Linked DNA regions of Ovis aries. The protein of the gene in region 1 purifies or fractionates together with the protein of each later gene. This does not show direct contact. Links are inferred from orthologs where the notes say so. Each region holds a gene or a part of one and is shown on either strand. Other genes may lie near its edges.

Region 1 (4,203 bases):
GGGGAGCTCGACCTCAGGCCTGACGACTCACCTGCTGTGAAAACCCACAGAAGAACTGGTATAAAAACTGAGGGAAGATGAAGCAGACGTTCTGAAAGACAAGCCACGTGCCTGTTAGTTCAAGGGCGCAGCGTAAGGGGTGTCACCGGGTGCCTAAGAGGCTGACCCGTGACACACTCCACCCCGGGCAGAGCACCCCTCATCCTCCAAGATGGGCAATGACTCTAAAACTCCTCTCACTTCAGGGGCCCCCATGGTGCAGCTGGGACCAGGCCGGTCTCCCCGAGATCAGAGCAAAGGGGAACTCCTAACAGAGAAAAGAGGAGGCACCCTGGGCATCAGTGTGGACAACGAGGAGCTCCTTCACGGACTGGTGAAAGAATGGCCTTCCTCAGTCTGCCGCAGCGCGGCTCTCAGTGGTTCTACATCCAGCTGAGAGAAGAGGGCCAGGCGCCTCCTCCTGGGAATCCTTCCTTCTACTCGGGGACAAGTCACCCCTGCAGCCTCGGGGCATCACGGCTGGCCAGCCTTTCACCCAACCCATCACACACCCAGAGATGGTGAGAGGCGCGGCGGTGGGAGAGCCTAAATGGTGGGAGAGCCTTCCTACCTTATAAAAGAAGTATTGCACAAGCTCGGATATCCTGATATAATAGAAATGCCCGTGAACAAGCAGCATCTTCTTTAAATGCTTAAACTTGGGTATCGCGTAGTCGCTGTTCCTTGCAGCCTGACGACCTTCCTTCCCAATGACGCCTGCAAGAAGGGAGCGCACGCGCTGCATCAGCCCTCCTCTGCCTCTGGCAGGTGGACACGGGATGGGCAAAGCAGGGTTAGACTGAGCCATTGCTGTGGGCTTCCAGCCCGGAACGCTCTGCGTCACAGGTGTGCCTGAAGTGTGTGTCTGAACCCTACGGTCCTGCCTTGTCTGTGTCCCCGATGGTCCAGCTGAGGGACAAACCCTGGCCACTGTGAGAGGCAGGGGGGCAGAGCCCAGGGGCTCACCGATGCCCACGTGGGCCTCCAGGATCATGCTGACGTCATTCGCGCCGTCGCCAATCGCCAAGGTGATCGGGTGCTCTTTCGAAAACTTGATTAACTTAACGATCTGGAAAAGAAGTGAACGCAGACTTTCTTGTCTCTCTTTTATTTTTGCAAAGGTCAACCACTAACTAGGCAGAAAGGACAAAGACGCCAAAGTTAGTCAAGGAAGATGAAACAATTAAGTGCTTAAAGTGAATTATTATATTCAGTACATTTTATCCATACAGGATAAAGTCTTTTTCACGTCAAAAGTGAAACATACTTAAGCAGCTAAGAAACGAATGCAGGAAGATGAGAGGAGAAGGCTGAGGGGGAGGCTGAGGACAGAGCCAAGAAACCCACGGAGCCATTTTCAGGGGCTGCCCCACTCACTCAGATGTGGGGCAGGCAGACTTAAATTCGGGCAGGGGCAGTGTGTGAGCGCTGCACTCCGTTAGAGGATGGTGCTATGCCAAGTTGCCTTGTATCAAGCATCTATTTTTGAAAATAAACTGTTCTTTCAATTTTCAAATTTGTCATGTGTGCAAAACCAAATCTGATAGCTCAATGAAATGAATAATTTCCAAATTCTTAGTCTGTTTCTTTACAGTCTTTTTTTTCCTATTTATGTGCGTAAGTACAATGTTCCATGATGCAAGACAGAAAAGATGAGGGGCTACGGCTTGTCTTCCTGATTCAAGACTGAGACACTGGCTGGTATAAGATTGAGAAGTCACTTAACCCAAAAGGTAACATGTGAAGACAAAACAGCACCCTTTGTTCCATTCCGGACATCACTACACAAGGCTGAAGCCCCGCCCCCGGCACGCCTCCTGCAGCCCCGCCCCCAGCACACCTGGGCCTCCTGCAGCCCCGCCCCCAGCACACCTGGGCCTCCTGCAGCCCCGCCCCCAGCACACCTGGGCCTTCTGCAGCGGGGCCATGCGGCAGCAAAGCACAGCGCTGCAGTTCCGGCAGATGTCCAGGAAGAGCTCGCGGTAGTTGCTGGAGCTCCCGTCCTCCCGAGGCTTCATGATCAAGGACAGCGCGGCTCCGTCGATGATTAAGCCGTAGTCCTGCATGTCGGCCGAAAGTCTGTCAGGCCACAGAAACCAGAGACGTCTCTCAGTAACCAAGTCCAGAGATTTGAGGAGACTAGCTACTCTAGGGGGTACCTATCCATGCTACAAATTCAGGAACAAGGATTAAGAAAGTGGGTTTTCTTCTTTTGTCAATAATAAGACAGTCTAGACTTGGGGCTGCAAGACCTTTGACTACATTTTAAAACTGTATGTGAACTTAATGTTCTCACTTCACTAGGGCAAAGCAAACAACAGCTACAACTCTGGATTCTTGGGCAGGTCGCGGTACAACAGCGGGAGAGCGTCTATCCTGCCATCCGGAAAGATCGACCTTTTCTCCCGACCCCCAGCCACCTCAGCCCCACAGTCCTGATGGCCACAGCTGGGAACTCCTTGCTACTCTGCCTGTCTTGGGAAGAACGCAGTCATGATACTTCTCTTTGCTGGGTTTCAAAATGAAAAGGAACATCTCTAAGCCCCAAAAGGAATTCTGCAGACCAGGTAACGGGAAATAGCTTTGTACTATTTATGAATGAATAATTTTAAATTCGTGTATGATTAGAGAGCCCCATTTGCTTCTGCTAAGTTAATGAAAATTTAAGTTCAAAGAGAGTCTTATCTCAGATCGCACATCGAAGGCCAGCAAGGAGAATGTTGGTAGAATGTGCATGAATTGGTGAGCATTCTTGGGGAAAACAACTCTTGTGGACTGTTTTGTCTTACTTGACAAACGACCATGTGTCATTGTCCCCCCACCCCAACTCTGGCAGAGGCCCCGAGGAATCCACAGCGTGGCCCCCGGGTGGAGCAGAAATAGGTGGGCATCGCCTCACACACGATAGTGTATAAGTCAATGAATCAAGCCTCCGTGTATCCTCTATCAGCAGTCTGCAAGTGAGCATGGGCGCACGCACACACACACCCTCGACGCAAAGACACATCACAGTTGCTGAGAAGACAAGGCTCTGGTCAGGATCCCGACCACGGGACGCTGCCAGGGGCCAGAGGACAGACCTGTGTCCGCACAAGGGAGTGCCGGCCACCGCCCTGCCTGTGGAGGCCGCCCTGCCCCTGCGAACGCCCCGGACACCCGCCTACCCGGAGAAGTTGTCCCGGGTGAGGCTGGCGCTGCAGCGCAGCACTGTCTTGCTCAGCTCGAAGAGCACGTCGTGCAGGCTGTGCTCCTCCAGCCGCTTGGTGGTGACCTCGAGCAGCTGCGTGTTCCTGCGGAAGAGCTTGCAGGCGTAGCAGGTGGCGGCCGCCGTCTCCATCTTGTCGCCTGTGAGCACCCACACCTTGATGCCCGCCTTCTGCAGCGCCTCGATGGTGTCGGCCGCCTTCTCCTGCAGCCTGGGGGCGGGGGGCACGACACACCGTCATCAGCACGGACCCTCGAACCAAGCTGGAGAAGTCCAAGGACTTGGGGTCTGCTGCCCTGTCTGATTTTCACCCCAAAGTTAAAAAGCTCCCTGGTGCTGACCTGTGTGTGATTCACTGTGAAGGACCTGGGGCTATTCCCAGGTGGCTCAGATGGTAAAGAATCTAACTGCAGCACCACAGGCTCAACCCCTGGGTCAGGAAGGTGCCCTGGAGAAGGAAATGGCTACCCACTCAGGGAGTCTTGCCTGGAGAAGCCCACGGACAGAGGAGCCTGGCGGGCTACAGTCCACGGGGTCGCAAAGAATTGGACATGACTGAGCGACTAACACTTTGACTTCCACTTTTTGCATTAGCTTTTTACAACAAAGCGCTTCCTGATCCCAGATAATCCACAGGGCCGAATACTAAGGAGCAACATGGCATTTGCTGAGCACACACTTTTCTGTCTGGCAGGACTTTCTGCTCAGAGAAGATCTGGGGCAATTATAAGGAGGCCCCTCACAAGCACCAACCAGGACAGTCAGAACCAGGGAGAACGGGGCCTGGCGAAGAGGGAACGTGCGCCCCCTTTTCTCTGCGCGTAAGATGTCCTGATTTTGCCTGCTGTCCAACTGGAGCCCAGGGTCCCCTAAAGAACGTGAAGCGGGAGGATGCCGGCTGGGCCCTGGGACTGGCGGACTGGCGTCACAGGCTCCCTCAGTGCCAGGCGCTGCAGGAA
Region 2 (4,903 bases), on another chromosome or scaffold:
AGGAATGTAAATTGGTGCATCCACTGTTGGAAAAAGTATGGACGGTTCTCAAAAAATTAAAAGTATAACTACCATATGACCCAGTAATTCCACTCCTGAGTATTTATCTTTCCCAAATGAAAACAGTAATTTGAAAAGCTATATGCACCCCAATTGCATACCAGCATTTCAGGTGGCGCTAGTGGTAAGAAGGAATCCTCTTGCCGGTGCAGCAGATGTTAAGAGACACCGGTTTGATCCCTGGGTCAGGAAGAGCCTCTGGAGAAGGGCAGGGCAATCCACTCCAGTATTCTTGCCTGGAGAATCCCATGGACAGAGGAGCCTGGTGGCTACAGTCCATAAGACTGCAAAGAACGGGACACAAGAGATTAGCATGCATGGAAGCAAACTAAATGTCCATCAACAGACAAATGGAAAAGAGTTAATTCTCACACACACACACACACACCACGCAACGGAATACTACACAGCTACAGAAATGAATGAAAATTTGTCATCTGCAACAACTTGGACAGACTTGGAAGTTACTACGCTAAGCTAAATAAGTCAGACTGAGAAAGTTTAAATACTGTATAATATCACTTGTATGATCTGAAAAAGTAAAACTAGTGAATATAACAAGGAAGGAGAGAACAAACTAGTTACCAGTGAGGAGAGGGAAAAGAGGAGGGGCGAGGAGGGGCAAGGTGGGGGCAGGGGATTAAAATGTACCAATTATTAGGTGTATTTTACAGCATTGGGAATATCGCCAATGTTTTTTAATAACTATGAATGGGGTGTAACTTTTAAAAGTTGTGATTCATATTGTACAACAACTGTATCTCATTTTTTTAAGACTTAGATCAATATGCAAAAGATAAACGTGGACATAGGATAGATGGTACAGAGTAGCCTGGAGATCATTAATGGTGGAAAAACAAGTCAGAGCAATTATAGGCATGATAACAGGGTAAACCCAGTCACATGATTTATTCCTGAGAACAAAAAGGTCACCAACCATATACATCCCACTTAATATTTATCCTCGCACTCTGAGTGGAGGTTTATTTCTTTAAGTAGACAAAGTCGTGGTTTTGTAACTCAAGCAAATACTGCCAATGCCACGAGGCTCAGGCTCTCTTTGTGTGGCCTTTCCACTGCTGCGCTCCCCTTCACAGAGGACCTCGAAGTAGAGGAAACACCTAGCTGGCTTGAAGCCATCCGCCCCTCGGCTGACGGAAGCAGTGCAGGCGGGGCGGATCCGTCAACCACCTGAAACACCCGTCGCCATGATACCAAAAAGAGCGGGCAGCGGAGTGCGAACAGAAGCTTCCGTGAGCCGAGTGGAAGACGCGCTTATGGCGCAAGCGCCGAGGCCTCTTCGCCCCACCCGCCCCAGGGCCGCGCATGCGCCAACGCAGCTTCACGCTCGGGATAGAAGCCCTCACTTTGTCGTCACAGGGCAGATGATCGGGGTGCGTCCGCCTTTTCCCTCCCCCTTCCATCCTCCTCCCCTTCCCCCTCCCCTTGCCCCTCAGTCTTCTCCCTCCTTTCTCTCTCCCTCCCTCTGGCGTCCCCCGCCAGCTCTCGCTTCCGGTCGGCGGCTGTCTGCGGAAGGGTGTCCCGCCCCTTCCGCCTCTACAGCGGCGGCGGCGGCGGCGCCTGCGCGTCTCCTGTCAGGGTCAGCGGGCGGGTGCCCTGGGCCGTCCACCTGCGCGTTGCGGAGCCGCGCCCGGGGGGTCGATGGCGATGAACTATAACGCGAAGGATGAAGTGGACGGCGGGCCCCCGTGTCCTCCGGGGGGCACCGCTAAGACCCGGAGGCCAGATAACACGGCCTTCAAACAGCAACGGCTGCCGGCTTGGCAGCCCATCCTGACGGCTGGCACGGTGCTGCCCACCTTCTTCATCATCGGCCTCATCTTCATCCCCATTGGCATCGGCATCTTCGTCACCTCCAACAACATCCGCGAGATCGAGGTGAGCGGCGGGGAGGCGGCGGCCGTGCGCGTTGGCGCCGCGGGGGAGCGGTGTCCCTCCTTCCTGGGGTCCAGGGGGTCGGGCGGGCCCTGCCCTTCCCCACCTTCTGTCTTCCTCAGTTTCCTCTTTCTTTTCCTACGGGTTTTTCCGAATTTGCAGTTTTGCCGGCGCTTTCCCTCGCTGTTTATCCAGTCGGGGAATGACTCTGTAATGCAGAGTGTGGGTCAGGGGAAGAACGCCCCTTTGATGGGCGGTTTGTGTGGTTTTGAACCTCTAACGGAGGTTAAAAAAGGAAAAAAAAAAAAAGAAAAGGAGAAGTGGAAAGAAGTTACATGGACATCAAACTCCAGGAGAGTTGACACGGTCAGAGTGTCACTTATCTGTGTGGGGATTATCCCGAGTCACGGAGATCAACACCTTGGCCGTTGTTGGGGAAAGGACCCAGTGTCTTAGAGGCAATGATGGTTTTTATGTAAAGAAGTTGCCATGTGGCACATCACGTATTAGGACCTGTGACCGAAGTGTGTACAGTACTTTTCACGTTGAGCTCACAGATGCTTTTACTTACAGGGGCGTGTTACGGGTAAAAGGTAACTTGACGCTTCAATTCCGGTTTTACTTTTAGGTTACATTGATTAATAATCATGCCCTACATTCGCCCTCGTCCTCCCTCAACCCTCCCCACCCCGCCAGATTTTAAACTGAAAAAAAAAAAAAAAAAAAGTCTGTGACCTCGCAGGGAGAGTAATTTGTGAATTATTTCCTGAACGTGTTACTGTTGTAAGACATGATAGAGAAACTTGGGGAAACATCTTGACTTCCGTCAGAGAAACCATCATCGTAATATAGTATCTTCATACATCTGCAGTGGTGAAGATAGGTTGGTACAGAATGTAAATACTTTGTGTACATATCCAGTATTAAACATCTGCTCATCCTCTTTTCTTGACTATCTGAGGGTATTTTTTATCTGTTTGAAAGGGGAGGAACGGGCACAAAATTCTCTTGATTTTTTTTTGTTCTATCAGTTATGTCATTTTTTTCCCTTTTTAATTATACTAAATACTGTAAAATGTATGCATGCAATTTAATAGGGCTTTCAAAACAACTTTATTTCAACGGCAGGGATAGGCATACTTTCCAATTTAATTAACAGTGTTACCTGTAAAAGCAGAATCATTATATTTTTAATTGTACAACGTGTACATTTCTGTGTTAGTAATACAAGTGTATAGCACAGTTTAAAAATCTTTTACTGAAAGTTCATTTTCAGTTAATAATGAAGTATCACAGTAAATTTTTTCAGTCTAATGTCCTCTTTTATCATTTTTATCTCCTAGTAGACCCTCAAATGTAGTCCTTAGTGTTCTCCCAACTGTATTGTGCTGTGCTGTGCTGTGCTCAGTTGCTCAGTCATGTCCGACTCTTTGAGACCCCCATGGACTGTAGCCCGCCAGACTCCTCTGTTCCTGGAGATTCTCCAAGGCAAGACCACTGGAGTGGGTTGCCATGCCCTCCTCCTGGGGATCTTCCCAACCCAGGGATTGAACCCAGGTGTCCCTCATCGCAGGCGGATTCTTTTACTGTCTGAGTCGCCAGGGACCCCCCCAAACCTTTTTAGGACCACACATACCAGGATGTGAGCGTAGTGGTATAATACAAGGGCTGTGGGCTCTAAGCAGGAGTCAGGCAGAGCTGGGTTTAAATTCCAGCTCAGCTATTAACTGGCTCAGTTTGTTGCAAAACATAATCGCCCTAAATTTCTTCACTTGTAAAATAGGTAAATAATTCCTATTTTTTGTGAACTGTGAGATTTAGAAACAAGATAGATAATATTCCTGGCACTACATTTATACACTAGTTACTGTATTGTGATGTCCGCTAATCAGGAGATGAGAAATGGAGTCAGAGGGGTTGGTATTTGCTAGTAAGCTAGAAAAGCATTGTAAAATAGAGACAGAAACCAAACCTGGATGTCTTGATTTTCAGTCTTAAGCTTTTACACTATACTGGGATCCTTATGTCTATGTTTTTAGTGGATATTAAGATGAAAGCAGCAGTTTGGAATTTATATGATGAGTATTTACTAAATTATCAGAACTCAATTTCTGTCAATATTTACTATGAAGGTAAATGTTAACTTTCTTTAAAACTTTCGGATTCTGAAATAAAGTTCTTCACGCTAGTTGATGAAATGGAAAGTTCTTAAATAATTTTCATGTATGTAATTCTGATTTCAAACTGTCTGAAGAGTCTACTGTAGCTGGATCTCGTTAGAAGGACACTGAAGTTGAGTCAAGGCATTAGAGTCCAGCTTTTACTCCCTAGTTTGTGATCTTAGGCATGTTTTTGAGTCTCAGTTTTCGTTTCGCTTGAAGAGCTGAACGATTCAGACTAGATGATCCCTTAGAGGCCTTGTTCCACTTTAATATTCCGTGACTTCCAACTTTAATGTGATTTTAAGAAAACGCTGCATATTCAAGTTGTATCACCTTTGGAACTAGAGGAGATGAGAATTAAGAGTGATGAGGAATTTTGTACCAATGCTCAGATACAGTTGTGCAAATAAATTTTTTAAAAATTTGATGATTGTGTAGAGAAGTGGTTCTGAATTGAGCCTGGAGTTACTAGAAGAACCTAGGGAACTTCCCCTAAGCACACATACTTGTTTCTGACTGCTCCCCACCCTTTGTCAGTCACTAGTTTAAAGTTGAGGGTTATTAAAAATAAATACGTAAGAAGAAGTTCTTGGCAAGATTCACTTCAATACTACACGTTGCTCACATCTCTTTAGCTTATGTCCTCATTTTTGAAACTTTTAAGACTTTCATTATTGCACTCATCTCATCTGCTAGTAAAGTAATGCTCAAAATTCTCCAAGCCAGGCTTCAGCAATATGTGAACCATGAACTTCCAGATGTTCAAGCTGGTTTTAGAAAAGGCA

What was found. Proteins that work in one complex are often made in the same cells at the same time.
Region 2: the proteins of ATP11A (region 1) and TMEM30A purify together in Homo sapiens (co-immunoprecipitation; 4 studies listed by BioGRID and IntAct, with this or other methods). This does not show direct contact. The link is inferred for Ovis aries from reciprocal best matches to the Homo sapiens genes ATP11A and TMEM30A.

The regions. Positions count from the first base shown.
Region 1 is NC_056063.1:85,711,837-85,716,039, reverse strand, and holds part of ATP11A (phospholipid-transporting ATPase IH), read right to left. Parts: intron 3,456-4,203; coding exon 3,204-3,455; intron 2,119-3,203; coding exon 1,944-2,118; intron 1,109-1,943; coding exon 1,006-1,108; intron 757-1,005; coding exon 611-756; intron 92-610; coding exon 32-91; intron 1-31. UniProt on the Homo sapiens protein: Catalytic component of a P4-ATPase flippase complex which catalyzes the hydrolysis of ATP coupled to the transport of aminophospholipids, phosphatidylserines (PS) and phosphatidylethanolamines (PE), from the outer to the inner leaflet of the plasma membrane.
Region 2 is NC_056061.1:2,092,405-2,097,307, reverse strand, and holds the start of TMEM30A (cell cycle control protein 50A), read left to right. Parts: upstream 1-1,721; 5' UTR 1,722-1,722; coding exon 1,723-1,959; intron 1,960-4,903. UniProt on the Homo sapiens protein: Accessory component of a P4-ATPase flippase complex which catalyzes the hydrolysis of ATP coupled to the transport of aminophospholipids from the outer to the inner leaflet of various membranes and ensures the maintenance of asymmetric distribution of phospholipids.